Linked DNA regions of Caenorhabditis elegans. The protein of the gene in region 1 interacts with the protein of each later gene in a pairwise test. Each region holds a gene or a part of one and is shown on either strand. Other genes may lie near its edges.

Evidence for each region.
Region 2: the proteins of egl-44 (region 1) and egl-46 interact in a two-hybrid assay, tested with the Caenorhabditis elegans proteins (2 studies listed by BioGRID).

Annotation. Positions count from the first base shown.
Region 1 is NC_003280.10:5,923,962-5,940,975, reverse strand, and holds egl-44 (TEA domain-containing protein), read right to left. Parts: upstream 7,440-17,014; coding exon 7,395-7,439; intron 4,536-7,394; coding exon 4,492-4,535; intron 4,405-4,491; coding exon 4,311-4,404; intron 4,060-4,310; exon of another isoform or gene 4,039-4,059; intron 3,930-4,038; exon of another isoform or gene 3,924-3,929; coding exon 3,725-3,923; intron 2,440-3,724; coding exon 2,291-2,439; intron 2,239-2,290; coding exon 2,055-2,238; intron 1,999-2,054; coding exon 1,623-1,998; intron 1,567-1,622; coding exon 1,458-1,566; intron 1,408-1,457; coding exon 1,255-1,407; intron 877-1,254; coding exon 748-876; downstream 1-747. Other genes in the region: F28B12.6 (uncharacterized protein), read right to left, coding at 1-41; vrk-1 (Serine/threonine-protein kinase VRK1), read right to left, coding at 16,518-16,601, 16,953-17,014. UniProt on the Caenorhabditis elegans protein: Transcription factor. Binds to DNA sequence motif 5'-CATNNNNAAATGCAT-3' as a heterodimer with egl-46.
Region 2 is NC_003283.11:6,679,636-6,696,649, forward strand, and holds the start of egl-46 (Transcription factor egl-46), read right to left. Parts: upstream 1,939-17,014; 5' UTR 1,933-1,938; coding exon 1,681-1,932; intron 1,460-1,680; coding exon 1,307-1,459; intron 1,260-1,306; exon of another isoform or gene 1,051-1,259; intron 987-1,050; coding exon 909-986; intron 828-908; coding exon 666-827; intron 238-665; coding exon 22-237; 3' UTR 1-21. Other genes in the region: K11G9.5 (Major facilitator superfamily (MFS) profile domain-containing protein), read right to left, coding at 6,410-6,517, 6,948-7,101, 7,144-7,335, 7,388-7,596, 7,766-7,957, 8,006-8,149, 8,218-8,323, 8,523-8,647 and 1 more; mtl-1 (Metallothionein-1), read right to left, coding at 11,850-12,061, 12,182-12,197; W02F12.8 (Metallothionein), read right to left, coding at 12,718-12,836, 15,011-15,026; W02F12.2 (Alkaline ceramidase), read right to left, coding at 15,795-15,991, 16,382-16,494, 16,541-16,678, 16,723-16,825, 16,874-17,014. UniProt on the Caenorhabditis elegans protein: Transcription factor. Represses expression of genes involved in differentiation of touch receptor neurons (TRN), probably acting as a heterodimer with egl-44, perhaps by occupying similar cis-regulatory elements as an unc-86/mec-3 heterodimer.

The DNA.
Region 1 (17,014 bases):
GTGATTGAGATTTGGAATGACCTCGCGCGGTACAGTGCCATTGTTTATAATATCGCAGCTCCGCCTTTCGTTTTGTCGGGGTCTTCTGTTGCTTTGATGAAACGTTTCTTTCTGAAAATCCAGTTGCTCCCAAAACGTTTTTAAAAAAATTGAAAAGTTTAGGTATCTGATGCATTTTTTCAATAACTGATAATTAAAGGGAAAACAAGTCCAAAAATAGAATACAGAAAATGAAACAAAACACACCTAAGAGCCTAACAGAACTGAATCAAATCGGAAACTTGGGTTGAAAAAATCGAGAATTGAGATTTTGTGGAAGGTGTGGAGAAGAGGTTGCAAGTATTGGGGGGAACTGAATCTGAAAGGGAGAAGTGTGGGGATGAATGTGAGGGATTAGAAATTAAAGAACAACTCGTACTAGACACTGTAGACTTTTTGATGGATTCTGTGAATTTCCAAGAAATATGAGAAGCTCGACGAGTTTTCTTCTGGTTGCACATGATGAGACGAAAAAAAGTACAAAAATAAATCACGGGAAATTGGGTTTTGAGTATTCAGGTAAACATGGAGAAAATAAGAAAATGGGAATGACTGGAACATATTATTATTATTTTTCAAATGAAATTCAAATGAATTCGTGTGACCGATTTTTGAAGAGAAGGAGAAAACGAAGAAAAGGAATGAATGAGTGTATAAATTAAGAAAAAAACAAAAAATATGGCAGTGTGGGAAGAGATTTTTCAAAATTCATTCATCAGAATCGCCTCCTCCATCGATTAGCCTGTAGACAGAACATGATGGCTCTGGTTCTTGTGATACTTCAAATACAAAACAGAGAACCATTAATAATTCATCAGTTTCGCTGTTTGTGACAATCTGAAAATTATTATGCTTTTCATTATGTGTACTTTCCAGTTTTTCCTCAGTTTTTTTTTGTTAAATTAGAACCCCGTATTCCTTTTCTTTAAAACCCCAGAATGTGTTAGAAAACTAATTAAAAAATTATAACACTGTTCAAACATTGTTCAGAATTTTAAGCTTTCAGTCGGAGAACATTTTTGAAAGCGACTTAAAAAGTATATTATTCATTAATGTGCATATTATTTATTCAATTCTAATGAAACAAATGAAACTTTTCAAAATTTTCTAGAGCTATTTTTCAACTTTGATTTAAGTTTTTGTGAATTTTTAGAGGTGGAGAAATGGCCGCTGACAAACTCTCTGAATAGGTTAAATATTTTCAAATATTCTTACCTGTAAAACTGTAAAATTCTCCAGCACGTTGTTCATTGTTTCTATTACATTCAGCTTCTTCAGCTCGGCAATGAACTTAACCATATAGTCACACATTGGGGAGTTGTTCAATATGAACGAATATGATCCATCGAATTCGATTGGGAAGTATTGCTGAAAAATCAACCGATTGTACATTGCCGCTTAGCTCATAATATTCGTACCTCTATTTTTTCAACTGCCTGGTTTCCAAATGAGCAAGCCATTGTTGAGACCTTTAATTGGAATTTTTCACGACTTGAGTAGAACGAGTCGACTGCGTATTGACAGTTTCTAAAAGGTTTTCTTTGAGTCAAAACTAATTATCAATCACATTCAATATAACTTACTGTACATCATCCGAAACATTAATATTTGCCCAACACTTTGCAAGGAAGAAGACATCCTTTTTCTCGGATTTCTCGAACAATTCTCGAAGTAATTTCGGATATTTTTCGTAAAATACAGAAATGTCAATATCATCTTTTTCCAGTGTATTCTCAATCTTCACGAGTTCTGTCCTTAAACTTGTCTTATTACATTTGACATATGCGGAGAAGCTGTGAAGTGTTAATTGTGAAGAAGCGATTGGTTTCGTTTCTTCTACAACTTCTGATTTCACAGGTGAAACTGTTTTGTCGGGAGAGGATTGTTGGAAAACAAGTTGTGATAGATCCATTCCGATAGGTAATCCAGGAGTTTGTTGGAATGACCACAAAGGAAGAGCTGGAAACATGAGAAAATTAGTTTGATGCAATAATTGTATCGCATAAAAAACTAACATTTAAATAGTTGTTGGGAGATTTGATCGGTTTCCACTTTTGGCACAATTGATGAGTAGCTACTTTGTGGAGAAATTTCAGTGATTGCAGCGACAGCTGCGGAAACAGGCGGAAATACTACAGCTGATGGAGATTTAACTCCTCCTGGAGGTGAAGCTTGTTGAAGAAGACTGGGAATATCACCCTGAAAAGTTTTCAATATGAATTTCAGTTAGACATATAGTAAATTAAACTACCGTATTCAGATGAAAAGGTACCTTCTTTTTTGCTTGTTCGTCTCTGAGCTTTTTCCTAGCAAGTACTTGAATATGTGATGACACTTGTTTCCGAGTCCTCGTTTTTCCACATCGCAATTTGATATACCTAGCGATTAGTTCGTTCCTTCCTGAAAATATATATACATATAAAATTCAAACAAGTAAATGAATGTTGCTCATAATGAAATCAGAATGTGGGAGGAGGAAGAAATAATCAGGTAACGAACAGGTGAAAAATTCAGGTCTGACGATGGAATAACTAAAATAAGGGTGACGTCGACTTGAAAGATTCTATGTTAAAAAAAGATTTCACGAATCAAAGTGGAAATTGTTAAAATTTAAGATTAAATTCTGTATTTTTCTATAGGACTATTATTTAATTGGCTAGACTAATAGGGAGATCAAGATTATTTTTAAAAAATACTGTATTGAAAACTTGAACCCTCTTAATTATATTTGCGTATCAATTATCACCCCACCCAAATTTATCACATAAATTAAGTGAGTAAAGACTATGGAATTTTCTCTGATAACATTATGTTTTCCGGTAATTTTTACGAAATAAAAGCGGATCAAACTGATAACCGTAGTAACGGGCATTGTTAAGAAGTCTAACAAAATTGCTGTTCTACAGTAGTCTCAAAACAGCGTCTGTGTAACTTTTAGTTGTCATCATTGTGGAAAAAGGTTTCTTTTTTTTTGAAAATCAAACAAATGTGCAAACTCTTTTTGTTTGTTACTGCCGGGCACTGCGCAGACAGTATTCGTGTTTTATGACGTGGCAGAGCACAAAGTCCAGCGAGAGCAGTTACAGACACGCTACGTTTCTGATATTCCTCAATATTTATAATTCTGATAATTTTAGTTTTTATTTTAAAATTTCCAGAGGTTTTTCTATTTTAAAATAAAATTTGAAATCTAATTTCAATTTTAAATTTTAAATACTTTAACCGACAGCTGAAAACGTGATACTTTGGGATACTTCGGTAACCCCCTAATCACATTTTCCTAACAAACTATGTTCCAACATCTAATCTAACGATTTGTTGATTTTGGTTGCGCGGGAGGGTCAAAAAGTCAAGACTTAGAGAGAGAAAGAGCCGCCCGTGGTTTCCCGCAGCGAAAATAAACAAATACAAGGAATATGGAGAAGTGGCACGGAAAGGATGGAAAGATGGTCTCTACTAATCCCGTAGTACCTTCTACTCTCTTCTTTTGTCGGTTTCTGTCTGCCGGTTCAATCCGTTTACATCATAATAATAATAAATATTAGAAAGAAAAGTCAAATGGAAAAGAAGTTTCTATCCCATGGATATGGGCAGATGTTCAATGAAGGCAGATGCACAGTAATGTGAATGTATTCATTCTTCTACCACTTGTATGACTCCAATTATGTATAGACAGTTCACTCACCATACATTTTCCCTTCGTCACTGATGATAATTTTCCTTCGTCCACAAGGTGGATAGATGGCTAACGCTTCTTGAAATGCTTGATCAATGTCTATACTCCACACACCTTCCGCGTCACCAGACAAGTCGGAAAGGGAAGAAGTCGATTCGGGAGCCATTGAGCCAGCGGAACCTGGTCCGTCACCGGCGGGAGGGGAGAGCTGAAATCCATGTTTTAGGATAAAGAAGTGTCTGATTGGGAATTTGAAGCTGGTATCAGAAGGGGTTGAAACTTGAGCTCAAAGAACGCTAAAAGGCTTCAAACTTGAGCAATGAGGTGCAAGACAATTAGATGAAATACTGTATGTATATTCCAATTCTAAAATATAAGATTTGAAATAGTTTTTGTTTTGAAAAGTATTTCAGATATTTTGCAAAATCAATCACTGTTCTCTAGTTTTCACTTATGATTTTTTTTTAAATCATATTTTAATGGCATAAATTTCTAGCTTTTAAAAATTGTGATAAACTTTTTTTTCATCAAAAGATTTTAAGTCAATAAAATCTCAATGGGAAGAACTCGAAAAAAAAATTGTTTTATCACAAACCGTCATCATTTGTCCGCCAGAGGTCGTCGTGGGCGTTGTCGTTCCTGCTGCTCCAGCGAGCCACTCTTTTCGAAAATGATTATGGGGCGGGGTTCTGCAATGATGGGACACTTTAGTTCTATTCATCTATTCATATTCTGACACCTTCTGACTCCGCCCTGCCCAACAAAATTCAACTTACCCATTGAGAATTGTTTGCGCCGTGACTGCTACGTCTTCCGACATCTGAAATGCAAAAAAGTTGAACGAAATCTACCGTAATCCATCAAAAAAGTGAATGGCAGGCAAGAGAAGATATGGAAAAAATCTTGAGCTAAAAGAGTTTAGTTTTTCGGTTTTCACCCCGTGTTCGGTATCTAAAATTACGATCTCTAACTGAAGAGCATAGACCTTAGAGATTGAGAGCTTTTGCTTAAAAGATGAGAAAAATGTGATAATGTCTAAAGTGTGACGTGGCATTTATGTCCGGGGTACTGAAAGTTTGGTCATGTGATAGGTAGAGAAGAGGAATAGGCACGTAAAAGGAAATTGATAAGAAGACAGGTAACTGTTGTGCGTTTTTTTTCTGTGGGAGCAGAAAAAAACGGACAAAATCAAATCAACAAGGAGGAAAAATCGATGATTGTGAATGCTGAATCATCATCAATGCTTAATGCAATTGCAGAAAAAACGTCTGAACTGAAAAATGTATGTTCGTGGTTTTCAGGGTGGGAAAAGAAAGAGAAAAGAAAAGACCAACGTCTTCATTGTTTCATTTCAGACGGTCATGTCAAATGTGAAATAAAATAAATAATTGGAATATGCAGAAGAAATGTAGAAGCTGAGGTCATTTGTTTTTTGTAGAGGTTGTTGTCATGGCAACCAATTTTGTAAGATTTTTCAGAATTGTTACTCAGTTATCTTTTGAAAACAGTTTAAAAAATATTTTTTCAAATTTTGAATTTCCATAAATCAATCTTTGTCGATGAAAACAATTATGGCGGAATTTTTCCATTTATTCCGGATTTTAAAGCAATTTTTTCAAGCCGAATTTTCTAGATTTTTTGAAAAATATTTTTGAGATCTAACTTGTTAAATCCAACTCAACATTGGAAGTTTCTGTTAAAATTTTTCAAACTAGCGAACGCAGACGGTTTCGCATTTTTCCAACACGCTTTTTTTTTGTTAAACAAATAAACCAGACTAAACAAGGAAAACCTCGAAGATGGATGGCAGGTGGGAAAGGGACTAATGGAATAATTAGTGATACTTAATGAACACATAGGAGATATGATGGAATCAGGAAATAAAGTAGAAAAAAAATGATAGACACTTTCAAGAAGGAGATGAAGAAAAGAAATAAGAGAAGCGTTAAGGATGACGCATCGGATCGTCCAGATCGACAAACGAAAAGAGATGAGAAAAAGATAAAAGAGACGGAGGAAAACGAATGGAAAATGATGAAGAAGGAACGGCGGGTTGGAAGTATGGATTCAGAGAAAAGAGAGTGATCAGTACCGTGAAGTCGTTATAATCATGTTGTAGACTTAACTTCTAAAAGAGATTATCCTAAAAAGAATTGAGGGCAAACTGTATTTTGGGCAGGTAGTCTAGGTTGGTAAAATTATTTGGTGCATTATGAGCTTTGACATTTTTATATTGTTTTCTATTTCATAATAGGTAAAGTAATTAATCAGTGTTTTTTTTTAATTTAAAAATTTCACTGAAACCTCATCAATCAACATAATGTACATTAATTAAAAACTCCGTTTTAAACAAGTGGCGATTTCTCTATTTTTGCAATCCACAATTTTGTAAGTCGGCCGAAAAATAATTAATTTTTACTACAAATTATATGATTTAATTATGTATTTCAATATTGTAGAAGAGCAAACATGTGGTATTTTTCTAAATTTTTTAAAATACTAAAGTTTTGTTTAAAAATTTGGAGCAATTCCGACTTTTATTTGCAATAAAACAGTATCAAAACTTCGAAAACAACTTTCTCAAAAATATGTATAAAATTTTTTAACTAAAAAAATATTAACACATTTGGAAATAAATATTCACTTGCAGTAAAATAAAATTTACTACCAACCATCTGCAAGCAACTTATTATAATATTTACAAATCTGCTCTTATGGGAATACTACTACTAATTATGCAAATATTCCGAGATTGGTTCAAAAAACATGTCAACTCGAGATCTATGTCATCTCATTTTGATTGACTATCCCTGGTTGCTTCTTCCTAGGTTAATTACTCCTGCTTTTGCATTCGGAGGTCTTTTTACTGTTGTCAGTTATTCAAATTAGGTTGAGATTTGAGAATATTGAGTCATTGGATACAGAGAAAATAGAGAATTGTTTGAAGGGATGCTTCAGGAAGAAAAGAGTCATGAAGGCGGAAAGAAAACAAGGTGGATATATGATGATAGGAGACAGCCAGCTGTTCAACTAATCGATAAAGTGATAAGAACCTCGAGACTTAGAGTGTCATAGGGAACTCTGTCTATCATTTCATGTTATTCGAGACAAGAAACTAGGCGATCTACACAACAGTGATATTGCGCCAAAAGACAGTCTCTTACTTCTTCCCCCAATATGGTGACCTTCTCGACGAAACAGTACAGGACTACGACGACGAACCCAGCCACCTTGACAGATATTACCGAAAAAAGTAATCAAAAGCGAAAGATAGTGTGGATGTGGAGGAGTGTGTGGGGCGCTAATTCGGATAAATTGGTAATTGGAGGAGTATGGTTAGTTATCTGAACAAGGACAAATGGGACACCTCATTTACGGTTTGTGGTTTTTTTTCAGTTAAGTGCTGACAAAAACAAAGAAAATATTTACATATTTTTCAAGTTTTTATTTTCTAAATACATACAAATTTCACTTTAAGTTGTTTTTGCAACTAAAACCTTATTTCAAAAAAAAAATCAAACTTCCTATCAAATCAATAGAACCAGTTTGTTCATGTGACATATTGTCACGTTCTATAGGTAAACTGCAACGTGGAATATAAAAACTTCTAGAATCGGCTGACTAAGACATCGTGCTTTTCATCAGAATATTTGAATGAAAACAGGTTAAAATATATCACCTGCGGCAGCGCTTGTTGCAACTCTGAACAAAACATTGAGTTCATAATCTTTGAAATAAGAACTGGGTACGCGAGGGAATACGGTAGTCTGGAAAAGTATATAATGCATTCTACAAATATGTACAACAAGGAATTACCGGTAAAATCGAAGAAGAATAGAGACGGGGCACGAATCGAGGAAATAATGGAATGGTATGCTGGAGAAAAGGGGGGAAGTGAAGAAATGCAGATGGCAGTCCCTTCTACGGTCAATCCACCCCTCGCGCTCCCGGTTGGGGACACAAACGGACAGATGGTTTTCTAATGGAGTGGATATTTGTGAAGAGTGTATAAAATGAGGAGAGCTCAGAATATGCAATGGTAGAGCACATACTTGTGTATGTGCATAGGCAGGCATACAATCTATCACATTACTGTATTACCCACAACGAAGCCTGCGGGCGTTCAATTGGTTCTTTAATCAACGGAATGAGGTGAGAAGAGAGAGGGAGGAAATTGGGGATAAGCATGAAGAAGGTAAAGAGGATATATTACACAATTATAATTGCACAATATAATCGCTTCCATGGAGGTATATTCAAATTCTGAATTTTTTGTCGCGGTAAAGAGTTTTGGTAAATTCCCAAATTGATGTTTACAATTTCTCCACTCAATTTCACCTCTTCACCAAAACCGAAATCTAGACTACTTTAGAGAAAACCAACATGCTCATAATTATGTTAATTCTGCTCTGAAATAAATTATCAAATTATGCAGTCCGCAAAAAAGTCTGCTGCAAATATATATTTTTACTGGTGCAATACATACAACCCTATCAATTTTTTCAAGTTATGGAACAACTGCAAAAAAATTTTGTAAAGTAAAATACATTTACTTCACTTTTTCAGACTAGCTAATTTATCAATAAATATTAAATTGACAAAAGATCAGAATTTAAATCCAGACTCATCAATCGTCGACACCTTTCCATTATCTCTCATCAATTCAGGTCATCACGCGGTCGGATGCTTCTTTCTCTCTTATCACTAGTTCTCTAATTTTCAAATCAATCCACGTCAAAGAAATGACGTCTTGTCGTCTCGAGATGCGAACTCTATTATTTTCTCACTTTTTGCTGATGCTCCATTTGTTTTTTTTTTCAGACAAAAAATACTCTAGCGAAAACAACAAACATATTAATTGAAAGTGTAAAGGAGGAAAACACAAGATAACATAAACCATTCATACTGTAACTAATCCAATTTGGTAATAAGGTAGAAGTAGAAGTACTTCAAACCATTTCCTATCATCATGCCATTAGAAGAATAAGACGAAGACGTCAAGAATCAAGTGGTGACTAATATTAAGTGATGACGTCATACATATCCTTCATATTCAATGGAGCACGTTTGATAAAATGGATTTTCAAAATTATGGTAGTGATAAGAAAATGGAAAGAGACGGAGAGAAGAAAACGGGAGAAACGTAAGAAAAAGACAGTAAAAAAGTCATGTTCGTGTCAATCATGTGCACACTTCTCTAGGTTAAACATTATTTCCGTCTGGGAAAATATAGATTTTAGGGTTAAAACAATTGGTGTAGATGTTGTAAGTTCAAACTAAAAATATAAATGTGAGGTTTGAAACAAAATCATAATAAAAATTAGAAATTATATGTTGGAGAAATAAGGTTTAGAAAAGCTTTCAGCTTGAAAATTGGAAGCAGTCAGTCTACCATAGCCAATCTTTCTTGGCATAATGCTAAATCATATACTTCGAAAAATTCAAGAGTAATGCATGCGTATGGTATACCTACACACTTTCAATTTTTCTTTTTTTTACATTCTGGAGTGAGCGAGGAGATCCGGAGTTTTTACAAATAATTAAGTTGTAGCGCATTTACATTTAGATGTGTTAGCTTAAACTTTGAAAAAATTATTTAGGCCCGAGGTAATTGATAAAAACTGATATGCTTTTAGATTTTCAGAAAATAAATTGAAAAGATAGAATGGATGTTGGAACAAAATGATCTAGATTGGCGGTGCTCAAGTTGGCCATCAACGGAAAGCTGCTGCAGGATGGCGCAAGTTCACTTCACTAGAAAAGGCAACAGTGTGCTCTCGGAGCGGAGCCAAGGGCATGTTGTCTCATTTTGGGAACTGTTGGTAGGTTAAAGAGTGAGCGGAGGAAAATAGTGTCTAAAGTCAAGACCTCCCCGAGAAAAGAAGACGACGATTGTGTATGTTTTGTGAAACACTCTCTGCATCTACCTCTCTCACACATTTGCCTGTCCCCGGGAGCGTGTCAGCCTTTGAGAAAGAGTGGCAACCGATCAAGAGACTTAGACATAGTCACCCACAGTTTCTTCTTCCTTCCCGTAGTCTCGAAACCCGTTTTGTTCATTTCATTTGTTGCTGACTGACTGCCTGGGTTGGACGACTTTTACAAAAGAGAGGAACACTTGTTGGCTCTTCTTGAGAACAGGTGATTTGCCTGTTTCATCGAGAAAAAAGCTTGAAGGTTGAATGAAAATGTAGGTTACATGATCAAGCAGATGCCGAGAAACCTTGAAAGGAGCCAAGGTAAAGAAGATTCTGTGGTTAGGTGGATGAGCTATAATTAAGTAACGGGACCGCACCTCAATGCGAACAGAAGGGGGTCACAAACATTCAGCTTACAGTTGTGGTAATTCGAGTGAATTTTTATTATTAGAAATGTGATAAGTATTAAGTTACAGTAATACCAGAAAAAAGTGCAACCTAAAACATAGGAGTTGCTGTTATTACGCAAGCTTAAAAAATGACTGAAAGGAGTTCAAAGTAGCTGATTAAACAGTGAAGTTCAAGTTTTTTAAGACTCAAGAGCATCATAAATTTCAGTGCCAACTATGCCAATCCTTCAATTTTTGAAGAATCGAATAATTCTAGAAAACGTTAAAAGCATCAGATGTCTCTTAGTGCCTTCTTTTCTGTTGTTTCTTATTGCTTTGAAGTGACATTCGATTGTCAAATGACTCATAAAAGTCGTGTGGCAGGGGGAAAAGGAGGAGAATTGAATGTTTCCAATCGTTCGCACCATCACAAAAACGTGTGCATGTGTGTGTAAAAACATATGAAAATAATAATAAAAAAGTTGAAGGGTAGCGAAGTCAGAGGGAACTCCTATCAGTTGCACTGTTCATATTTGATAGCGAGTCATAGTACTTGAAATTTCAAAAATTATGAAATTAACAGTTTTACATAAGAAACAGGAAACAGGAACACCATAACTATTGTAGAAAAGAGAAATAGAGATGATGATGAAGCTAACGGAGATAAGAGTATTTGTTTCTCTCTCTCTCTTTCTTTTACTCTACGTGCAGTCCGTGTGCCTTTCCAAATCGAAACGATTATGTGTTGGAAGAGAGTGTAAGAAAAAGAGCAGGTAAAATTGTGACAGAGTCAAAAGTCAAGAAAGTTATGCATTTCAAAAAAGAAGAGTGACCATCTGTCGTTTGAAAACTTTTGGTCATAGGTATTCAGTGTCAGAAAACGGAAAATCTATTTCGGGAATAACAGACAGAAATATATTTGATCATCAGAAAATTTAAACGGCCTGAAGGATAAGCATGGAGATCAGAAATATTCGAATTTCAGAAACGCCACAAATCTAAAACGAAAACGATTGAGGAAGACTGAAAGATCACTCTGAAAAACGTGATCGAATCAGACCAGGTAGGAAGTAGCTGATTTAAGATTTACATTGTTCATTCAATAATAGCAAGTCTGACCAAAAGGATTCTGAGATTGGGGTCTACTTCATTTTATTAAAATCATTTCCAAATTCTGAGCTATAATTTCCCTTCTATAATAAGGAATCGGAGTTGCAATCTATATTCCAATGATATTTAAAATTCACACCTGGCCCAATAACTCGAAAATCGATGGGTTATTCAGAAATTGAAAAGTGCAAGTTTTTTGAACTCTTGTTGTTAGTAGGTTCATCTCAGTTTGAGGTAAAATCATGTTAACTCGTCAAAAAGTCAGGGGAAAAATTAAAAGGAAGATGAAATTCGAGAAGAACAAATGACACTCGGTGAGCATACATCGTGCAAAACTGAGTAAGAAATGAGTAAGAAATCACATTAAGAAACCTTTGAAGATCTTTTGACCGTTTTCAAAAATCTATCAAACGCTATTTTGTTTCTCAATCGATTTCCCTCAAAATATGGCAACTTTTCACTTCTACATGAGCCTGGAGAAACAATCTGGTAACAACTACAGTAACCCTAAGATTTTTTTTCAGATAAATCTAGACTAGTATATTAGGTGACGGACCCCATCAATTCACAAACAGTCTGGAAATATATCAAAGGCTATGATATATATGTATATATAAGAAAATCCTTACTACAGGAAATGCCAAATCTAGTACCTCCTCCCGATTTCTCATGCATCTTTCAACAGTGTTTAAATTGTATAATTAGGTATTCATAGTTACATAGCTTTCCAATTTTCCCAGATTTTATTGAAAATAATTAGTCCCTTCTTTCCTCAATGATTCGATTCACTCTTCCGAAAATGTACACAAAGGAAGATGGGAAACGGTGGGAGCGGGGAGCTATTTAGGACAGGTGCATTTCTCATTTGGGGTCCCCTTCTCGTTTCAATTCTCACGTTAATTGAACCCTCTTCTGTCATTCAATTTTCTTTTTTTGTACAAAGAAAAATCTCACGAAAAGGAAAAGACTCACGAAAAGCTGGAATGGTAGTAAGTTTGGGAAGATGGATGACATGTTGAGTGGTATAACTTGAATCCAGTCTGGAAATGAAATATAGTTGAAAAGTAAAGAAAAGCGATATTTCAATGAAGAGAGAATAGGTGTGTCCAAAAAAATATGTATCGAATGCATAAAAAATCAGAAAATAGTGAGAGGCGGGTGGTCCTCCTCCGAAAAAGAGGTGAGAGCTTGAAAACACGTTATGCATATTCAAGAGACCGCCCTTCGAATCGACCACTCCGACTCCGCCCAATTTCCAGAAGAAGAAGAAGCTCATGAATTCAAGAATACGGTGGATGGATAAAATAGATACGGGGACTAGGTATCCGTGCTAAAGAATTTGAAAATTCCAAGATTTTATTCAAGGTACTTTTTTAAATCAAGATCGGAAATTAAATGTAGGAACACAGAGTTGAAGAGGATAGAATTTTAAATATGCAAAATGTACTTGAAAGAAATTTTACTACCTGAAAAAGTAGTTTGAACCGCAGGTGATTCATGAAAGTTCTCACTTTTGAAACAATTTTCTATAATATCAAAAATCATAAATTTTTCACATAAATTAGAGTTTGTGACAGAGAGGTTTTGTGTTTAAATTTTTAAAAATTATAATCCTTTATCCACCTGTAAATTCTATAAAACACAACTAGAGATAAAATCTTCCAGACAAATAGAAATACATAGGCTTGTTCTTCTCGTAACTCAGCCCAAGTGATAAATTTCTGTTCTTCGTGCTGACAGGAATCTGGAACTTCAGGTGGCATTATATCCACTTATTAACCAGGTAACAAAACTATTGCGTTCTCACCACACTGACAACAAAAATTTTGACGCTATCCCAACAAATTAAAAAAATTCTTAAATCCTATTTTTATTTAATTTTACAGATTATAATGCACATAAAAGGACAATAGCTACAGTAACTCGTTCGCAGCGTTGCGAGACCTAGATATGGCAAAAATACTGAACTATAAACGTTTGCGTTACCGTATATTCCCTATCAGTATGGCCCCCGTCACTCGACTTTGACCGTTTATATCTCGGTTGTCTTTGATCACTTTTTTTTCAATAACTCAAACGACAAAATTTGTTTCAAATCTATCGTTATGCTCTGGTATTTGAAAAAATCAAAAATCTTTTGAAACCGCTGAAATATAAGCCGAAAAAGTCGATTGGCGGAGGGCCATACTAATAGGGAATATACTTTATATGTTGTTAGGGACAACTTTTTAAAGTTGTACCTGGACAATACAATGTTTCACTTTTTCAGATCTACTTTAATTGGTTATTTTCTAAACTTGACACCTTTGGCACCTCGCACAAAATATTTTTCGTCACAGAATGCTCAAAGATCTTCCGCGAAAAAAAAACTTTGGAATGAGAAGCGTTCGTAGTGACGAGTGGGCGCAAGTGTTGCTGTGGAGCATGGTCCTTCCCGCTCTAATGGACTGGCACCGTCCGACTTTAGTAATAGAGTAGGCGTCGCCATAAGACGCAGAATGCACTTTGTGCCGCCCATCTCGTTTCATCGTTTGACCTACTCTATCATCACAACGGGACACACAAAGCTCTCAAAACGCGAAGCCCTATAATTTTCGAATGCGGTACATCTACCCAAAACCATTTGTGACACCACCGCGCTACGCGCCACCCCATTTCACAAAATTACATGCTCCCGGTGGATTACGGTAAGCGTTTTCCCTCGTTTTCCAAATCCTACAAAGATTATTTTAATAACGGGGAACATGTGCACAAATGCGAAACATGATACGAAAATGAAATTTTTTCGGCTGTGACGATTTGTTTTCGAAACGTTGTGTGTTGGCATGTACTGTATTGCACATTGAAGATTGACGGATAGATTGAGAGACGGTTCATTGTCAAAACATTTAGAAAATAAAAGAAATTGAAGAAACACGTAGGCATTCAACTTTTCGAAAATAGTACGGACTTTTTGAACTTTTTAATAGATCTTTTGGAAACTATTAAAATTATTATTTACTTGTGTCTTATTATTTTTGATATCTGCTTTCAGGTGTAATTTTTATTGGCTAATTGATTTCTAGACTGGAAAGTTACTGTCTAATATTCTAATTTAGCTATTTTTATAACTCAGAGATTTTTGGTTTGTAAATGTACAAGCACACTACTGTGATAATGTAATATGTTTGTTTCAAAATAATTTTGTAGAGTATCCATAATGGTATAGCGCAAACATTGAGAAACAACGAAATATTTTGATGGGGAAATATAATAAACTAGCCTGCAACGTAGGCGACCTAAGTCTGCCTCATGCCTACTCGTGAGCCTAATTCTAGAGTACACATGAACCTTTTTCCTCGTTTGAACGAACTATCAATGAATTATTCGAAATGATCAGTACTTAAACCAACACCTGAATATAAAAAACTTGGGTAGCAGGTAGGTATTAGTTAGGCACACCCGTCTGAAACATGGTACCTACCTATGAGAGATATTCTAAATGTAACAATAATATAACCCTCATAATCTTAAATGTTCTATTGATTGAATTTATTTTCTGTTTCTAGACTTGCATTCTAACACATTAAGTTTTCAATAAATATATTCCACAATATATTTAAAAAAAGAATCTCAAAATTGTAAAGCTCGTGGCAGAAAGAAATAGAAGAAGAATTCTTGAAAAAAATGGAATGATATTGTTTTAACGACAGATTTTTCGTCAAATTTATGATTGATTTCGGGCTTTTATTGATGATTGTATCTTGTTCGAAACTTTTCAATACATCGTATTCTTTTGAAGACAATTTAGATGTTTCATTTTATTGACTGAACTCCGAGAGAGTTGGGAGTTCAGCTCAACTCAGAAAACTACCGATTGACCATGATTTAAATTAAATAAATCTATAAAATCTGGGAAAAGGCGGAAATGTAGATATCTAAATTTGATCAAAATATTATTTTTATGCCTATTGTAAGTGTACTTACTATCTTAACTATCACTGGCCCTACAACATCTGTTTGAAAATCCTAGAAAGCCCGAAAATTATAATAAATAGCTGAACTAAATTTTTGAGGAATAAAACAAGATAATCTAATATGGTTTCAGTTTAAACATATTTGATTAAACTAGAAACAATTGAAACCCAGACATACCGTATACAGCCACCGCAATACTTGAACTTTGACAGATCACATCTCGGATACCTTTGGTTGCATAAAAAAGTTTATATCATTCAAATTTTCATTATAAGTTACTCTATTATTTTGTAGTCGAACTTTTTTATATTTTCAGAAGTAAGAGAGATACAGTCTTTTAAAATAGACCGCACACTGATAGAGGGAATACAAAATTCAAAATAAATTGCATTTTGAAACAAAGCGTCAAAATTGTCGGAATTGCCTTTACCTAGGTAAACTAACAGATGAAGTCAAAATATTTTTCGATTTCCAAAGAAAAAAGCAGACGGTTGATTGTCGAACGGAGGAGATAGAGAAGTGTTTCATCATTAGCCGGGTGGAACACTTTCTATGCTTCTCTGTGTCTCTACCATGTATTTGATATCTACAGTAATCAAATCATTGTCACTTCTTTTTTTCAGCAATCACTGTTTTGTTTTTTAGGGGACGAAGACGAACTGTCGGAAAACTGAGAAAAACGAAAATGGATAGCATTAAAAAACGATCAAATTCTCGTTTTTGTGTTCGTCACATTTTACACTTATAGGTGACTGTCTGGCAAGGATTGCCGGAGGACACCAACGATCATAAGTGCTAAACAAAAAAAAGTTGAATTTTCACAATGAGCCAAATATAAGTCTGAAACCAATCAGGTCAGCAGATCATCTGGACATTTTCAGCTGTCAACGGTTTCCACCCTCACATCGAAATACGTCAATCGGAAAAGAAGTCGTCGAAATGAGAGGGAACCGGAACAAAGAACCTGTTTCCCATTTTATTTCCAGCAGCACCCTTCTAAATTGTTAATTTCGTGATTAGTTCCTCTTAGGTTTCACCCACACCTACTCACAGTTCAGTTAAATTCATCAATTCAATCAGTAGTAATTTCACAAAATTTGAGAATGGGAAGTGAAAGGGGGATCAGAGAAGAGGGATCGTCGATAACAAAAAAAAGTGGAAAAGGGGAACTCGTCGCTGATGGACATCATGTCAGTGATGATAAGCCAAAAAAGGACGAAGAGATGGAGAAGGGATAAAAAACGATAGTACATCAAAACAGAATGATAAGTTGCAAAAAATTGGAGATCTAAAAACAATTAATGCCTGTTGAGAGCTCGAAACATATAATAATGAAAGAGACTGTAAGACAGGGAAAATAGACACGTTAGAGGAATCAATAGACGAAATTATGGGATGCAATGTGACTCGATTGAAGATTCCAATGGTTTACACTTCCGACGAGCAGCTCGAATCATCAAATGTTGGCTTTGTTTGACGAGAAGCAAGACGTTCTTTATACTTCGCACTGGTCTGAAACTCATTTATTAGATTTATTAGAATTGTTACTAGAAGAAAAAAATGTTTTCTAATTGATTATTTTATGACAGGGTTTTTGCAATTAGTATGACATTATTACTTTAGTAATCTGATAATAATATTATTTAAAGTTTTAAACGTATTCTAGGCGCTACATACAATTCTAGTTACTACATGCGATTTAATAGGCCATTTGGAAAAAAGAGACAATTTTGTTAACCTACAGTGAATAGCTATATTTACCTAGTTAACAAGTTTGAAAAGTAATTGAGGATTCATTACAGTAATTAGTATCAGGATTCATTTTTATAAAATGTTCATAACAAAAGTTCAATTCTATTCTACCTCTTTGATAATCATCGATCGTCTGCCTTTTGGAAAATTTCTGACGCCAGGAACTCTTCTCA
Region 2 (17,014 bases), on another chromosome or scaffold:
TTAGGTAGTCGAAAAGTGTGATTACATTGTTGGAATAACTCTTGAGAGCAAATCCTGAAGAGGCGATCTTTGACACGTCGACGAGTGCAGCTTGAGCATCTTCTTTGTTGGAAATGAGTTGAAGCAGGTGGAGCAGGAGACAATTGTTGAGGATTGTGCGGGTGGAGAGCCACCGAGCTCATTACGGGGTTTGTGCCAACGACGATGTGATGCCAAATTGGCCGGACATGAGAACACCTGCAAAAATGGAGCAAATTGTGTGTTTGTTTGTAAAGAACAGATAGAGGGAGAGAGAAAGCTGAGAATCATGGACCAGCTGGTTGGTACTGAAAGAAGCCGGCTCGCAGCAGGGGGTGTCGATAAATAGAAAAAGCCAAGGGAACCCGACTCGTGAAGAGCACTGGATTACTGTTTTGTCAAGTGGCGAGAGGGATTAAGATGGTTTGCTGACTCTTATGACGATACAAGGGTAGTCAAGTAAGTGATATAGATGAGCTTGACAGGTGGGAGTAATGAGTATAGGAGTACTATAGTATTCAACCTTTCGTTTTTGGGTTCTATGACTAATCTATCAGAATTCTTGAAAGTTTTGTAGTCTGAAGTAAATTTGCTTCCTGTTATCTAGAACTTCTGATCAGAAGCAATAATCCAAAGAATCAACAAACCTTGTCACAATCCGGACATTTGTATTCCTCGTGAGCAATTCTTGGACATTTGTGTTGTGCCAGCTTGAACACGTCCTCGTATTTCACCTTGCACAGCCGGCAGATACAGTCTCCAATGACATTTGGAATCTCGTCAATCTTTTGTCTTGACTCCTCGGTGACCTGGAATGAAAACAATATGCTTGGAATTTGTTAATTTGAATCCGGTAATTGTTGAATCTCAATTAAACAAATCTAACCAACCTCTACATATGCTGCTGTCTCATCGAGCAAATCAGCTTCTTTTTGGAGCTCCTCCACAGATTTCACATCCGCCTCCTCCTGCAACAAAAATATTATTATCCGTTCGTTTTCTCGGTGTCATTAGCAATAAATCAAGCGAGCGCTCAATCTGAGACGGTTGTCAGAGAATGCCGCAAGACAAAAGTGGCAGACGGTCGCTGGTCAGCGGGTGGTAATTAACCCAAGCTTTTGCTCCTTCTTTTTTCTGCGCCGCACCGCTTTCCGGCACCTCTTATGTGCCTTCGTTTTCAAAAGCTCTCATATGCTAATCACGTCTAATTAAGACAATCGGTGCCGAATTGTTTTTGCTCATAGAGGAAAGAAGGAGAAGCTTAGAAAGAGCCGATAGCTTTACTCACCTTTATGAACATACCGCTGACTGGAGAACTGGTCACAGTGTCTTCATTCAGTTTTCGAAGCTTTGTCTTTTTCGGGTCTATCGGTAGAGGACGTTTTCGAGATTGATGGGGGAATGGGAGAAACTCTTTTTGGATGGTCGGTTCTTGGAAAAGCTGAAAACAATTTTTTAGAACACATTTTTAGATACCTCAAGAACATAATAGTGTCAAGTGATCTGGAGAACTTATTATGAATACTATGATCGCCTTATTTGCAGTGAAAATCACATTCCCCTATAGTCATCAGTAGAACAGGTAGAAGTTGGTATAAATTTTTGATCTTTCAATTAAGAAAAAAGGTATCAATGTCTAGATAAGACACACCTATCACTAACCGGTTGAGGTGCCAGCTTCGCGCTGAACTGAATTTGCTGCTGCTGGATCTGGTAGAGCGCAAGCATCTGTTGAACTAGCGTTGGGTTCCAGAACATTGGAAGTGTAGGGAACACTGTTTGCGTGGAACAGTCAAAGTCCAACGTTTTATCCAAATTTTCATCATTGGATACGGTAGATGTTGTAGACGGCACTGGACTCGGATTCGTCGATGATAATATTGCTTTGACCCAAAAGTCATTCATAGGCACCATGGCCTTCTGAAATCAAAACGATATAAAATGGATCGAAAAAAGATATGGGTTACGGTAGATGTGAACGAAAAAAGAAAAGGTGTCTGACTCTGACCGTCTGGTGTCCTCAATTGACCGTGGCACGTACACACTAACCTCCTTTTATATGGGAGAAGGCACAAGGCTGGCAGCTGCTGCTCCCGAGTCTCCGCCCCGAAGACACCTTACAAGAAGGGGAGCGAGTGAGCAATTAACATGGAAATTGGGTCGAGATTTTGTGAAATTGGAAATTTCAATGTTTTTTTCGTCAAAAATAAAGATTGTCAATGGGTAAATTTGATAGATGAGTGACGAAATCTAGAAATTCGATTTTTGAGTTGTGTAACTTTTGAGGGATAGAAGAAAAAGGGAAAATCTCAGTAAAACAACTGATGAATTCTCAATAGCTTGAAATTGGGCATTTCGTAACCTATTGTGAAATTTTATTTGTGTTCACTGTTGAATTTTTCCTTCCACAGAAATTCTTTGGATTGAGATTTTATCAATGAAATTTTTATTGGCATTTGAAAAGTGGCAATTACTAAGTTTTTGCCACTTTTCGAGAAAACTATAGCAATGCCGCATGTTCGAATTCCTCTCAGTGCTTGATAAATATTAATTTTAAACATAAGTAAACTATAAAATTCGAAGGTATAATTGTTTTTGATCGACGACTTCCAAAAAGTGAAAAAAACAACAAAAAAAAATTGAAAAGTTGCACTATAATATCTGCTAATTTTGGCACCATAAGAGTGGTTTTTAACAATTTCCCCACTGCCGCAAAAATAATATTTTAAATTCAGAGAATCACTGGAAAGAATCTAAAGAGTCTATAAGTCTGTACAAATATATTTGATACAAATATCAGTAATTTTATAACGGTATGTATTTTTATGATCTACAATTATCCTTGCTCCCATAAATCTTATTTTGCCTGTAAACCAGGTGTACTCGCCTAATTGGCGAACAATATGTGTTACGAACAGTTGTATAATTCCACGCGTAATAAGAAGGCGTCAATTAGCGGACGTTTATTCCACCTCCTCTTTCTTTTATACTTTCAATCGCCCAAATTGTTTACCACTTGTAGCACATCTCCTCTTCCAAGTCAATCACTTTTCCATATTTGGTAGCAACACGGGCAGGTGTCTCCTGGTGTCTCTTGGGACGAGCCGCGTTTAGAAGTGCTCACGGAAGAGAAGATGAGCATAAATTAAAAAGTGAGCAGTGCATTAAAAAAGGAACGCAGTGCCATGGGTTGATGACACCGACAGTGACCGTGCCAGGCGCGCGTTTAGTGTTCCGATTTGTTGCTATGGAAACGTTTGGCGAGATGATGGGACTCTTTGATGAACAGGTTTTTTGATGGGTGCCTCGCAAAGTTGAATTTGAGCAAAGACTGAAGTGAGGGAATATGTGCATTGTGTTGTGAATGCCATAATCAGTTATCTTAGCATTGAGCAGAAGCATACGAAATAGTTTGAGTTTGAATCGTGGTTAAATTTTTAATCTGTACAGAAAATCAAACTGTACGACGATAAATGTACTACCTAGAGACCTCAATTTTGGCCACATTTGGAATATTATTGTGAGAATATACAAAGTTGCAAGAGCTAGCCCTATATCCAAAATAATTTATCTCAAGCTGAGGGTATATTTATCAGTAATTTATTACCTAAAAGTCCGCAACATTAATTCATCTACCGTCTGTCAGCTGCATGCTTATGGCCCAATTAGTCGCATGTTCGTGAATACCTAAAAGATAATCAATCAGTCTAGATGTTGTGCCCATGCAGCAGGCAGACCATCTGTACGTGCCCTTGGCAAACAGCCGTATCATTTCGATTTGCATATACTGTACTACTTGCATCTGTCGTTGGGTCTGTCGTCACAAAAATAACAAATCGATGGGTCCTGGTACCCATCATCGTTCATCTTCCGCCTCCTCACGGAAATCGACACCTGTTCGAGAATTTGTAACATGCCAATTAGGACTGCGAAAAGTGAGGGTTATCCGAGGTGGGAGCAGATGCTCCTGTCCCGGCTTGTCCGGGTCAATCTTTTCATCCATCCAATTACGGTAAACCCATGGGGATCAAAGCGTGTTAGAAGATAAAGTGAGTAAAGAAGTAAACAACAATCTGCAACACGATTTCCCGATTTTAAATGCATTTGAGAGCACCGAGAGCACCGAAATGAAGTGTCAATCAAAAATCCTCTGGAATAGAGGTGTGTTTGTGCATTGAAGAGCTTTTGGGTAGAGAGGGACCTGCTGACACACATACATGCGTACCCGGGGAGACAAACAATGAATAATAGATGACAAAATTGGCACCGAGATATATGGGTGACATGTTCTAGCTTATAATATTGTTACATGTCGCCCCCAACAACCTGTCTGGTAAACATCACCACTACCTTCTGTTGGGATTGAATTTTATAGTATTGAATTGAACAAGGGAATACGTTCGGTGATTTTAAATTAGCTCGGGAACGGTAGAAATTTACCAATAAGGGCGGTGAGTTTGATTGTAAACTCAGCGTTTGGGAAAACAGATAATGAAGTTTTACACTCCTGGGTTTCAGATTGAGATTCTCACCTCAAAATGACCTAGATTCTATATTGAGCTATAATGACACTACAGTACACCTTTACATTTTTTTTCGGTCTTGTCGAAATTTCAAAAATCACAGTAAAGGAAATATTCAAATTTCAAATCTTGAATCACGCATTTTGCAAACAATGTTCTTCAAATCTTAATCTTGTTACCATTCAACCTCCCATCGAATTCACACCAAAATCGGCTTCCCCGTGTATTCCTGAATCTTTTGTTCATTGAAGACACAAATTTCATAATTCTCAAATCTAATAAAGTACCCTTTCACAAGGTGTAGATAGATACCATCAACCAATTAGTTCGGATTAAAGAACTATGTCCGACCGACGTCTCGCGCACTTTTCATTTCATCTTGCATCTGGCGTGAACTGAGCTGCCATTTAATGCCAAATCCGAGAGGCGAACGTTCCGAAGGCGGATTTCAATAGTGAGAAGACTGAAGGGGTGACCAAAAACGGAAGGAAAACATCTGGAAAGGATAAGTGTGACCGGGTCATTGGAAGACGCCACCTGCTCCGGCCGGCCGAACAGTGCGCGAAACTAAATGCCTCTCTCGTGTAATTACAATCCAATTCATTGGTGCCATGCATTGGTATTATGGTGAGGTAATTAAGTGGGCTAAGGATAAGTGGACGTGTTATGGGTCAAACACACGAGACTGATACACATTGGAGCAATGGAGGACAGGTGTTCGTAATACGTGGATGAATGACCGGACAAACTGGGTCAGACATTGTATAATGACAAAACTTCCGGTGTTGAGCTCATTTGGGAATGGATAAAAATATCACATTTCATGTAAGGGTAACTGAAATTTGTAAGTTTGAAAGTACTATAGGGTGACGACTTTTGGGTACTTTATAGGAAGTTGTGTGGTTTGAAAAGTTCGACTTGGAAACCGCAACAGTTTCAGACAACAAATGATGAAAATTTTAAGATTTTTTTGTTTCAGCTTTCCCAATTCTTCCAGCTCATTGCACAATTTTCAGAGTAATGATAACATCAAGTTGAGAAAAATTGTTTATTAATAAATTTATATAAATCTGAATGCAACCAAGACGGCCAAGATTTTTTTGCAGATCCCCGAGATCGCATTTCGGATGACTCTGAAAATATAATGAAAGTTATCCTACTATCAGTATCTAGTGTATATGACTGTCGAAAATTGTTCCCCAAGCTGATTTTTAACACTTTAAACATGCTCCTTATTTCTAGTTTTTGTGTCTTGTTTAAGATAATTCTTCACTATTTTACAAGTACTCCTTTCCCATAACCCATAAATTTCTATATAATTTGCGAAAGCACCATGAACGTTCAAATGACTCGAAGATATGTATGTGTTCATAGCTTTCGCAGAGCGTCTATGCTTTTTTACGACCGTGTTTCCTGTGCTTGCCGCATTTCAATAGAGAGGGACAGTTTGTGGTAGTGTGTCCGAATGTCCAAATGAGAGGGGGGAGTAAAATGAAAAGAGAAGAGAAGACATGCAAATGTCATGGTATGGTGAATTGAGCGGGTACGAAAGGCACTAGGAGTCGAAAAGCAGATGTTTTAGTGGCCGAACGGGCAGATGGACACGTTTATGCATCAAGAGAGATGTGCTCGAACCAATAATGTGTTCATTGCAAAAATTGGAATGCAGTAGGGAACAAACGGGCAGTAGATACACGTAATCAGTTGGGAATTAAGTGAAATTCAGGATGGTTTGAGTCTGAAAATTGACTCTGAAATAGGACAACAATGAGATGACAGATTAAAGAATAAATGTAGAAATGGGACAACTTGCGATCAATAGAAGTAAAACAAAATGAAATTGAGCGTAACATTTCTGGCAAAAATCATCAAGGCTCCTCAGCGTTCACCTCATATTTGACAGTTTTTTCATTAGCATCTGCCATTGTATATTCCGCTGGTTTGTCAGTAAACACACAAAGAGCAAGGATGTTTGCCTGAAAGATAGTGTTTTATCCTACAAAGATGACATTGAAAGGTGAAAGTTTTGCATTTAAAATGTTTTCAATATTCCGAAAAAGTGGCAAAAACTGAGTAATAAATTACCACTTTTTGAACAAAATAAAATTTTCAAAAAATATGTTTTACTATGATATTTGGTCATTTTGGCACCACGGGAGTGGCTTTCATAAATTTCTCCACTGGCTACTGGTTACTGGCTACTCAAACTACGCTAGCTACTTACTTCTTCTAAAATTTTGCTTTGAATAAGGACCTTCGGAAAATTTTTGCAATATGATACAAACCCTTTTGCAGAAATTTTTCAATTGTTACCGAACCATGCCATTAATTTGAATTAAAAAAACGAACTATTGTCAACTTTTTTTGAATGTCATTATTTTCAAAATATTTATTGCTGAAACTCACCACAAACATAATACCTCCAAGAATGCACAAAACTGTTCTCCACTGACCAACACTTTCTTCATTTTTTACAATAGCTGCAACTAGAGCTGGTCCAGTGATTAGCGCCACTGATTTCATCCATTGAATTGTAGAAATAACGACGTGAGCGAATTGTCTGTGAAAAATAAATTATTCCAGTTTCAAAGTTTGGCGGTACCTAGTGTGTAATGTCGCACATTTGTAGAATCCTGCCACGTTCAGACATAAACATGAAAAGATCACGGAAAAAAGAACAACTGAAACATAGTGCAACGATTGAGGAATGAACCCAAGACATCCTAGCAAGACACCAACGAGTCCTACTGAAATCGTATTGAAGAACAACATTTTTCCGCGTTCCGAGAAACATCTGGCAAGAAAACAGATTTGTGATGCATGACCTCAAAGTTCGAATAACTTACTTCGCCTTGTCACTGATAATTCCACCAACAAGTTTTAATGGAAGTGGAATGAATACTGAAAGTGCAAGAAGGAATCCAGTTTGAGCGACACTGAACTTTAAAATTCGATTGAAGAATATTGGTGCGTAGGTGTGCAAGAATACAATGATCGACATTTCGGCGAACGCATTCAACCAAACGCAAAGAACAATTGGAGATGTAAGAAGTTTCTGGAATCGAATGGTTTATTTTATGATAAAAACAACTAATGTATTTTAAATATTCTAGATTTATGTCGTTATATAATAGAAGTAAGTGAAAATTTTCAAATTATTTCCGGTTTCGAATTTACAGAAGCGTTTTTGGGTTTTTTGAGCTCATTTTATTTTGAAAACTAACCCTGTACGGTACTTCAACATTTTTAGTTTTCAAATGCTGTTCCGACTTGTTTTTTCGAATTTTCCTCAGCTCATCAGCGGAAACTTTCTTTTCTGGATCATCATTGTACACAATAGCCCAAAGTATGAAGAAAACTGATCCCATTACGGCATGTGCGTAGAAAGCGGTCCTCCAACCAAATCCTTCACATATCTGAACATATTATAAACTTGAACAAACTCTTAAGTTATTGAGAATTACCGCTCCAGACACTGCATTTGTTAAAACCGATGAGAAATTGGTAAACGAAGTAAGTGCACCAAGAAAAATTGCAGTTTCAGATAGTGGGGCCCATCTGACAGTTAACAAGCCAATCGCCGCAAAGTCTGCCGCAAATGCAAGTCCCTGCAAAGATTGGAGGTCACAAAGCTTATCATATCATCAAAAGTGATTCACAAGAAAACAACACAAACCTGACAAAACCGCGCGGCAAGAAGTGCGTGAAACGACGTCTGCGCGGCCAGTGGGATCAATGTTGTAGCGATGACCGAGATGACTCCAGCTAAGAAGAATGTCCACCTAAAGAACATAAAAAAATAATGCTTAATCTTATTTTTTTTTCTAAAGCATAAAGAACTTTATTTTGGAGCCTACTTTGCCCTAAATTATTTAATGGGAAAAAATCTAGGAAATTCTTTCATACTTTTTCACCCAACAACCTAACGAAATTTATGTATTCCAAACTATTGTTACGGTATGCAATTTCCAATAGATTTACCTTCCTCCAAACCGGACAAACACGTAGTTTACCGGAAAAGTTCCAATAATTGTACCCGCAGCAACAGCCCACATTATGTATTTTTTCTCGTTGGGCGTGTAATCGAATAAACTGACTGGGGAGGTCTGGAAGCTTTCAACTTTTTCAAAAATTTAATCGCTAACAAAATACTCACCTCATTTCCCCGATCATCTCTTGTAAAGCTCATATCATTTTTCATGCAAATAAATGTAAAGTTCATAACCACATAATTGGAGCAAACGGAAACCAGGCATAAAAATCCAATAAATACAACAAGAACTCTGTACTTGTTTGAGATTATGCTCATTGTTGCACTGAATTGATATAAAATGAATGGATCGAATCGTTTATATGTATCGAAAAAATAGTCATCAAATGCAAAATATGTAGAAAAAGGGGTGGAGAGATGAGTCAGGTTAGGTGAGAAATGTGGGAGAGAAAAAGAACACATGGAGACTAAACATGGAAAAAAGAGGAGGAAAAGTTCAAAAAGATCTAATTGTTGTTCTTTGGGCTTTTCTTGAGACACAGGTATAATACATTTGTCAAATATTTTTCCAAAAAATAGAGAATTTAAAAATAATTTTGAGAATGAAAAATACAAGTGCACTGTCACTTGTGGAGATTTTATATACAGTTACTTTATAGGAAGACAAATCGAGAATATTCGGCGTATTTTGGAATATTTTGAAGCCAATTTTTAGCTGATTAGTTTATTATTTATCTTAAAAAACTTACTGTATTTGGAATATTTTGTTTAGTTGAGTAAAAACAATTACAACTTCTTGCAAATAGGATGTTAAAGGAAAATTTATCATATGAAATTTAAAAACGACAAAATTAGAAATAAGAAGAACTCATATTGAACAGAAAGAAGGGGACTAACCAAGCAAAGATAAATAGACAGAAAACGATTTTTAAGAAGAGACTCAAAAATCTAATGATGTTTTTTTGTCTACTGATAATGAGATGTTCACTAATTGGAAGTGCACCATTGACTAGAACCAGTGAAACAAAGTTAGAACACAAAATGACGTAGAGATTTGAATATGGAAACGGAAATGGGGAAATTGGAAATTACGTTTATATTTTTAATCTTGAAAATTTCGGTTTGAAAGTGAACATTTTCAGACTTCATTTAAAAGTTCAAAAAGCCAAAAAAAAATTCGGTGGCAATTGTCATCAAAAGTGAACGTTTTGAGTATTACGAGGTGAATGTTTGAAACTGTGTGATCCCTCTACTGAAGAACGAGACGTGTTTATTGGATTGGATCACAGTTAGATTAACTGTTTTGTTGGTGAGAAGTTTTAATATTTTTTTGATCAATTTGGTGTAACGAACATAAAATATTCAGCCAGCCGAACTTATATGTGAGCAATGATTACTGAAATATATGTCAATGACTTTAAAGTGAGTTTTAAACATTATTGAAAACAGAAAAAATATATTTGTTGGATATATGGGTGGCAAACCGGACTTCCGGTTTTTGAGCGTTCATAGTTTTCAAATTTCGATGTTTTTTGAAAAAGAAAACTTATGAAATTGTTTGAAAAAAACCATCGTATAATACATAACACAAAAATAGGAATCGGATGGTCAGAAATCCGGAAAAAATCAATTTAGTTAGATTGGCTAATCCGTGTTCAATAATATGGTTAAAAATATATAAATGCTTCAATAAAAATGCCACCAATAAAGTAGTGAAAATGGAAACATTGGATAAGACTCAATCTTTGAAATTTTGTCATCAGTTGATGTAACTCAAATTTAAATTTATTAAAATATCAGGGAGGTGGTATTCAAAATATTATAGTTGGTAAAATACATTGTCATGAAAAGGTACTATCTAAAGCCGAAAAGTGTTAAAACAAATTTAGCTTTTAGAATTCAAGTTAAAGTTGACAAGTCTTTTAAAATTACGAGTCAAGTCAACACAAAAGATCTAATAATTTTTTGACCTGTCTCGCATATTCTTTGTCTCCACCTACCCTTCTATCATTCATTTTTTTGATTACATGACAATTTGTAAAGAACAAGTCCCCAATCGACCCAATCACAAATCAATGATAACTACTGCGCGAAAAAATCACGGCGTCGTAGATCATAAAGTTTGGCGAACTGGGATTACAAATCAGAATCGAAAAATGAAGGTCTTCTGGAACGGAAAGGTCAGAAAAACGATGAGTGACCAGTGTCGTGAGCGACACTAATCTGTTTGTTCCGTTGATACAAAACTCTTCCTTTTCTATCATTGTTTTTGGTGATGTTCTGTTATTTTAACAGTCTGTACTTTTTGATTTTTCTTTCTAAATAAACAATTTGAAATCAAACATTCAATGCGGTTTTTGAACAGGCAATTCAGCATTTTTATGACAATCGGACATTATGATTTTTAAAAGTTGTTCAATTATGAATCATCAATATGTTTCTGTTGGTTTTTTTATTTTTACAGGGTTTCATAGTCGGGGTTAACCCAATTGAATATATTTCGATGTTCGTCGTTTCAAGCGATTGTCCAACTATGAATTGACGGAATAATTGGGGACCGGAAAACTGTAAAACAACTTTTAAAAGCTCTTAAAAACGAACATTTTTTTAAACATTTTAATTTTCTTTGAAAAAACGGAACTCAGACTTTTCAACCATTTATCAAAAAAAAAGATTTGTGCTGTGTTTTTTTCGAAACTTATCGTGCTCTTTTTCGAATTTTTCGCTAGGTTCTTTTTATCTTATAAAAAAACTGTCTATTGTTGATAATTCTAATATATGAATTTATAATATAATAATACAATGAATAATCTTGCATAATTAGAACTTGATTCACTGAAAGTTATACCTAATACTTATAGGACTGTCAGATCTTGCCCAATAATCATCTTGTATTTAAATTTGGCAAAAGTTTAGTAATACTTTAAGGATTTCGCCAAATCTCATCACAAATCTGACCAAAACCTTTATTATGTCAGTTTAATCTTGAGTAAGAGTTTGGCAAGAGTTGGATAAAACTTCGGTTAAACGTAGGCACAACCTGAGGCAGTTTTTTTAACTTTGAAAATTTTGCCTTTAAAGAAGTTGCTCGTAATCTTTAACGAAATGTATTTATTTATAAGAAAGTTGTCTGAAAGCATAAACTTTCATCACATGCATTTATCCTGATTCAATTAAATTATAATTTTTTGATTTGGCAGATACAAGTAATATACACATTTATTAGTTTACATAAATCTCGGAGGTAATTACAATTTAGTAGGATGTTCACAGTTTAGTAGGAATTGTGGTATTTTCAGATTCAACTCTGAAACATTTTAATGAGCCGCAGCAGTTCCCTGGTGTTGATGGGTCTTGTCTCCGCACTGCTTCTGCTCTGCACAATGACAGTTTGCACACTTGCAGTCTCCCTTACATCCAGCTGGACAGCATTTTTTCTCACTGGCCTCCTCACAGCAGTACTTCTCACAACACTTGTCTCCACTGCATTCACATTTGTCTCCGCACTTGCATTGCTTGTTTTTGCAGTCTGGAAAAGTTTTGACTTTAAGAAAAATTTAGAAAGCTTGTTGATTTGCCTGCTATTCTCAAAACCATTTTAAACGTGTCACAATTGTTTTTGAAATCTATAAAGTATAGATTAACTCACCACACTTGCAAGCCATGATTTCTTAATTTCAGCAGTCAAATTGAGCTGCCTTCTTCTTTTTCTCACTGCCTTTTTATTTGGTTTTTGCTGGCTGTTTACCACTTCAAATATGTGATAAAAGAGGGTGGCCCTGTCACAATGTACAAACTTATGATACTAAAAGAATAGAGATATAGAAGAGACCCAAAACAATAACAGATAGTTGATTGTGAGTTTGCTCATTGATCTTGAGCACTCTAATCCTTTGCACAATTTTTTGTTTGTTTTTAGAACGTTTTTAGAGAGACTCCGTTCTAGTATACGATTCAGTCACAGCTCTAGTTTCTGATTTTATCAGTTATTGACAAGGTGTTTGCAACATTCACGTACCATTGATGTGACGTTTTTAGCACAACATTCATTTAAACACGTGTGTTCGTTCCAAAAAGAATTAGAAAAATATTGTTTTATTTCAATTGACAAGATTGATAAGCGAAAGAATTATAGATCGACAATAATTTAGTAGTAGACGTGGGAAAAGTTCACTTGCTCATTGGTTATTTCTTTTGCTCAGTCTTCTCGGTTTTTCCTTCACAGCACGATTTTTTCTCTTCCTCGCAGCAACATTTTTCGACGGTACACTTACACGTTTCTCCACAGGAGCAATTCTTGCAGGCTAAAATAAAAATAGCTAAAAGATGTTTCCAGTTTTAACAATTTTTACAACCTTGTTTTTTTTTTGAAAAAAAAATCTATTTTTAAAACTTAAAATTAAATCTTGAAAATAATAAATCAAGAATTAAAATGTTCAATTCCAAGTTAAAAATTCTGATGTCACCAATCATATGAGAGACCATATTAACAACAAGGTGACGTCTGAAACATCTAACTTTTTTTACCTGATTTTCAAAATTTATTTCTCAGAGTTCTTTTTTTTTAACTGGACATATAATGTGAAAAATAAAAGAAATTAGGCAAATGCTCTTTTACTACCTCATCTTTTACTACGTTGCTCTTTTACTACGGTTTACTCTTTTACTACGGCCGTATTTTTTACTACGTTTTCCAATTTCGATGCGAAAAATAATTTCGAAAAAAATTCAGATTGTATTTATTACTGGAAAATACAAGATTGGGGTCGTTTTTCAGAAACAAATTTTGGGCCTAATTTTTTTTTTGAAAATAGCTTATTCGAGGAATCGCCGAAGTTCCCGACCTGCTATTAAGTGGAATTTGTAGAATGTTTAAAAATACACTCGAAAAAGTAGTTTTCAAGATAAATTTATCTTTTATCGATAAATTTCAGGTCAAGGGAATGTTTTCACTGGACAACAACGTTTATAAACAGGATATTATTTACAGGCACATTTTTTTCCAGTAGAAATAACTACAAAAAGGGCCATTTAGTTGTTGATAAGGAGAGTTAACAAAGTTTTCAGAACTAAATATCTGAAAAAGTAATGGAAGCTTCCTACTTCGTACAGCTCGGTTGGTTTCACATATACCTTGGAACCGCGGCCGCCACTCGCCTGTTTGGAGAAGTGGTAAAGCGCGCGCTCTTCAGTAGAGTCATTGCTGGTTCGAATCTGGATCCATTCAGATTTTTTTTTCAAATAGTTTGCACGGGAAAAGTGTTCCTTATCTTAAGCTTACAAGTTTGCGATTGATCAATTTTTCACATTCCCTCTGCCCGAAAAGATATGTGAGTATATAGAGCCCTACTTGCCGAGTTTCTTAATATTATGCCAAATTACAAAGTTGACATGAATGTTTTCAAAAACAACAGGTTTAGAATTTTTCTACAATAACTGATTAGTGCTTAATAAAGTTTCAAAATAGTTTTGTTTGGAAAATTTTCATAAATTTCATTTTCCCGTTATGATATCGTCGGATTCAGTTAAAAACCGCTCAGACAGTAGTATATTTCAAAAGTTGGAAAAAGAACACAACTATGAAACTTTCATGTTGATTTCAGAATGAAATTGTAATTATACCTGAAATCTGCTACAAGGTAACTTTCAAATTCCAACTTTTGATATTCTTTTTTTTTTCATTAGGCCGTAAAAAATCGTTAATCGTAGTAAAAGATACAAACTGTAGCAAAAGATCGAAATTGGAAAACGTAGTAAAAAATACGGCCGTAGTAAAAGATACAAATTGTAGTAAAAGATCGAAATTGGAAAACGTAGTAAAAAATACGGCCGTAGTAAAAGAGTAAACCGTAGTAAAAGAGCAACGTAGTAAAAGATGAGGTAGTAAAAGAGCATTTGCCAAGAAATTATAATTTTCGTTTTATATTTTCATGAAAAAATTACAAAATAGTAATTTAGAAAGATTGCTGGATTTGAAATATTTCTTTGTTATTTTAAGGTTTGAATTATTTTTCATTTTCATGTTTTTTTTTACTTGACTCTATATTTTTAGATTATGAAATTATTCAAAATCATTGCTGAGGCACAACATTTGTTTCTGAATGTTTTTCAGAGCAACTTACCTATGAGAAACTGAAAACTGTAAGATTTTACACTGTTCCAATTAAAATTTAAAAATATGTGGGAAGACAGGCATGTTCGCCTGAAGACGTACCTGACAAACTGAAGTGCCCTATACAAATTCAATAAATTCGAGGCTTTTGTTTGTGAAATTTTGTAGAATTAAAAAATTGAAAGAATCTCTATTATCACTGAATTTATTGTTACAATTTCACAATTTTCTCACTTTTCCTTACTATTTTAATTTGAATATTTCAATTTTAAGTTTAAAAAACAAATTTTTAAACTAACTAAAAACACCTGGTCTGTCATAGATAAACTCCTAATATAATACAAGTATTTAGGCATAAAAACTGACCACATGGACACGGCATGACGGTATGAATCGAAAGCAAATATAGATGTGAAATGAAGGATTCGTTGAATAGGATTGACTGAACAAGTTTTGGATTGCTTGGACTTGAGGAAAACAAGATCTTATTCTATTTCTCACCTTCTCTGAATCTCTGAATCTTCCCATGCAATTAGTTATAAGTTTCATGGTTTGATCTAGATACTCTCTATAAAACAAAACACTTGTTGACTTATTTATGGCAATTTGGAGAAAAACAACTGGTCAAAAAAACTCTATAGACAGACAACGGGAAGAAATGAGAAATGGAAACGAAATGTGAGGAATTAAAGCTAAAGAGCTTTTGTAAAAACATTGGGAAAAAAATTATAAAACATTATAAAATGAATTTTTAACTATTATCTAATAAAAAACTATCAAGTTGGGATATCATCCGTGACAGTTGTTGAGTTTCCATTTGTATCAAAAACTGGCACTGCTACTTTGCTGAAAAATTTTAAAGATTTTAGAAACAGTATATTTTAAAAAATATATCACAAAAAACCATTTATCAACACAGATTCACGTTCACAAATACATTGCACAAACGACACAAAACAAAAACTGGACAGTACATGGATAAAACTAAAAGGGCATAGACTAAGGCTTCTACGCAGGCTCAATAATGCCTACCAGGCACTCTTGTAGGTACACAGGCATGCATTTTTCTTCCTGTGTAGAATGCGTTACAAATACAATTTTCCCTCCGTTAGTTTGATGGAATTCTAACAGAGGGATATGCCATATATACTCACTGAGAACGTTCTTTGAGCGAAATGTACGGGAACGAGAAGATCGAGCCGTTCTTGCCCGGAAAATAACGGACTGCGGCTGTGTATTTGTGAGTTTTCGTTCTGCTCTCAATATCAATCATCGAGAACATGATGAAAATTGTGTAGCCGGCAAGTCCGGCGAGCAAATGGAACAGAGCATGGAGGTATGGGGTTCCTGGAAACATCAATTGCAAAAACTTACCTAACACTGAATTGCAAAATTGGTTTTGAAAAACTGTATATTTAATTTTACTATCTTTGCCCGATCATTACAAAGGTTATCTTGCGAACCTTTAACCGAAGTTTTGAAAAAAGTTTGTTGAAGCTAAGTTCACTGGAGCAAAACTTTTCTAGGTAAAACAATGCGAAATAGTTCTCAAAATCGAACAAATTTAACGTTTTTTATTGGAAAAGAAAGATTTATATTATTCAACTAGCATTTGAAACTAACAGTAGATACTGCCCAATATTTGAAACAACTTATCACTAGATATTTGAAATTTGGTCTTATTAAATGTGAAGTACCTCAGTTTTTTTCAAAAAATTCAGTATACCAATCACTCACCCAAATAAAGCCAAAAATCGCAGAGAAGACGATCAGCAAACCAGAAGGAAAATGCAACTCCCCAAAGTGCAAGAATTCGACTTGGAAATGACTCGATGTCTGGGATTCCAGACCTGAAAATTTTTATTTTCATTCAAACAGTCAAATTTGAAATCTTACTGTTTTCCTTCATAGTTTATCACTACAGCAGCTGGAATGGAAAACAGCATCAAAGCGATTGCATTGAGATTTGGTTCAAGGAAGCAGAGACCAGATACGAGAGCTGTTACAATTAGAACAACCCATCGGACGAGAGTTCTAGAAATTTAAAAGTGCAAAAGCTCACAAATATCTAAACTCACAATCTTTTTGAGAACTTCTCTGGGAACCATTTCATAACTGGAATGTAGACGACAAGGAACACTGTTATAATCCAAACTAATGACAGTTCATCGACAAGTTGACCTTGAGAAAAAAGTATTTAGTAAGAAGAGCAAACTACTATCAACTTACCAAATAAGTTGAGAGTTGCATGATAATATGTTGAAGCTAATCCATTGAAAGTGAGTAACAACTGAGGGAAAATCAAACCACCGTTCACATCATGAAGATATCTTCGAAGAAGCATTATATTGACTAGTGGAAGGACAATGA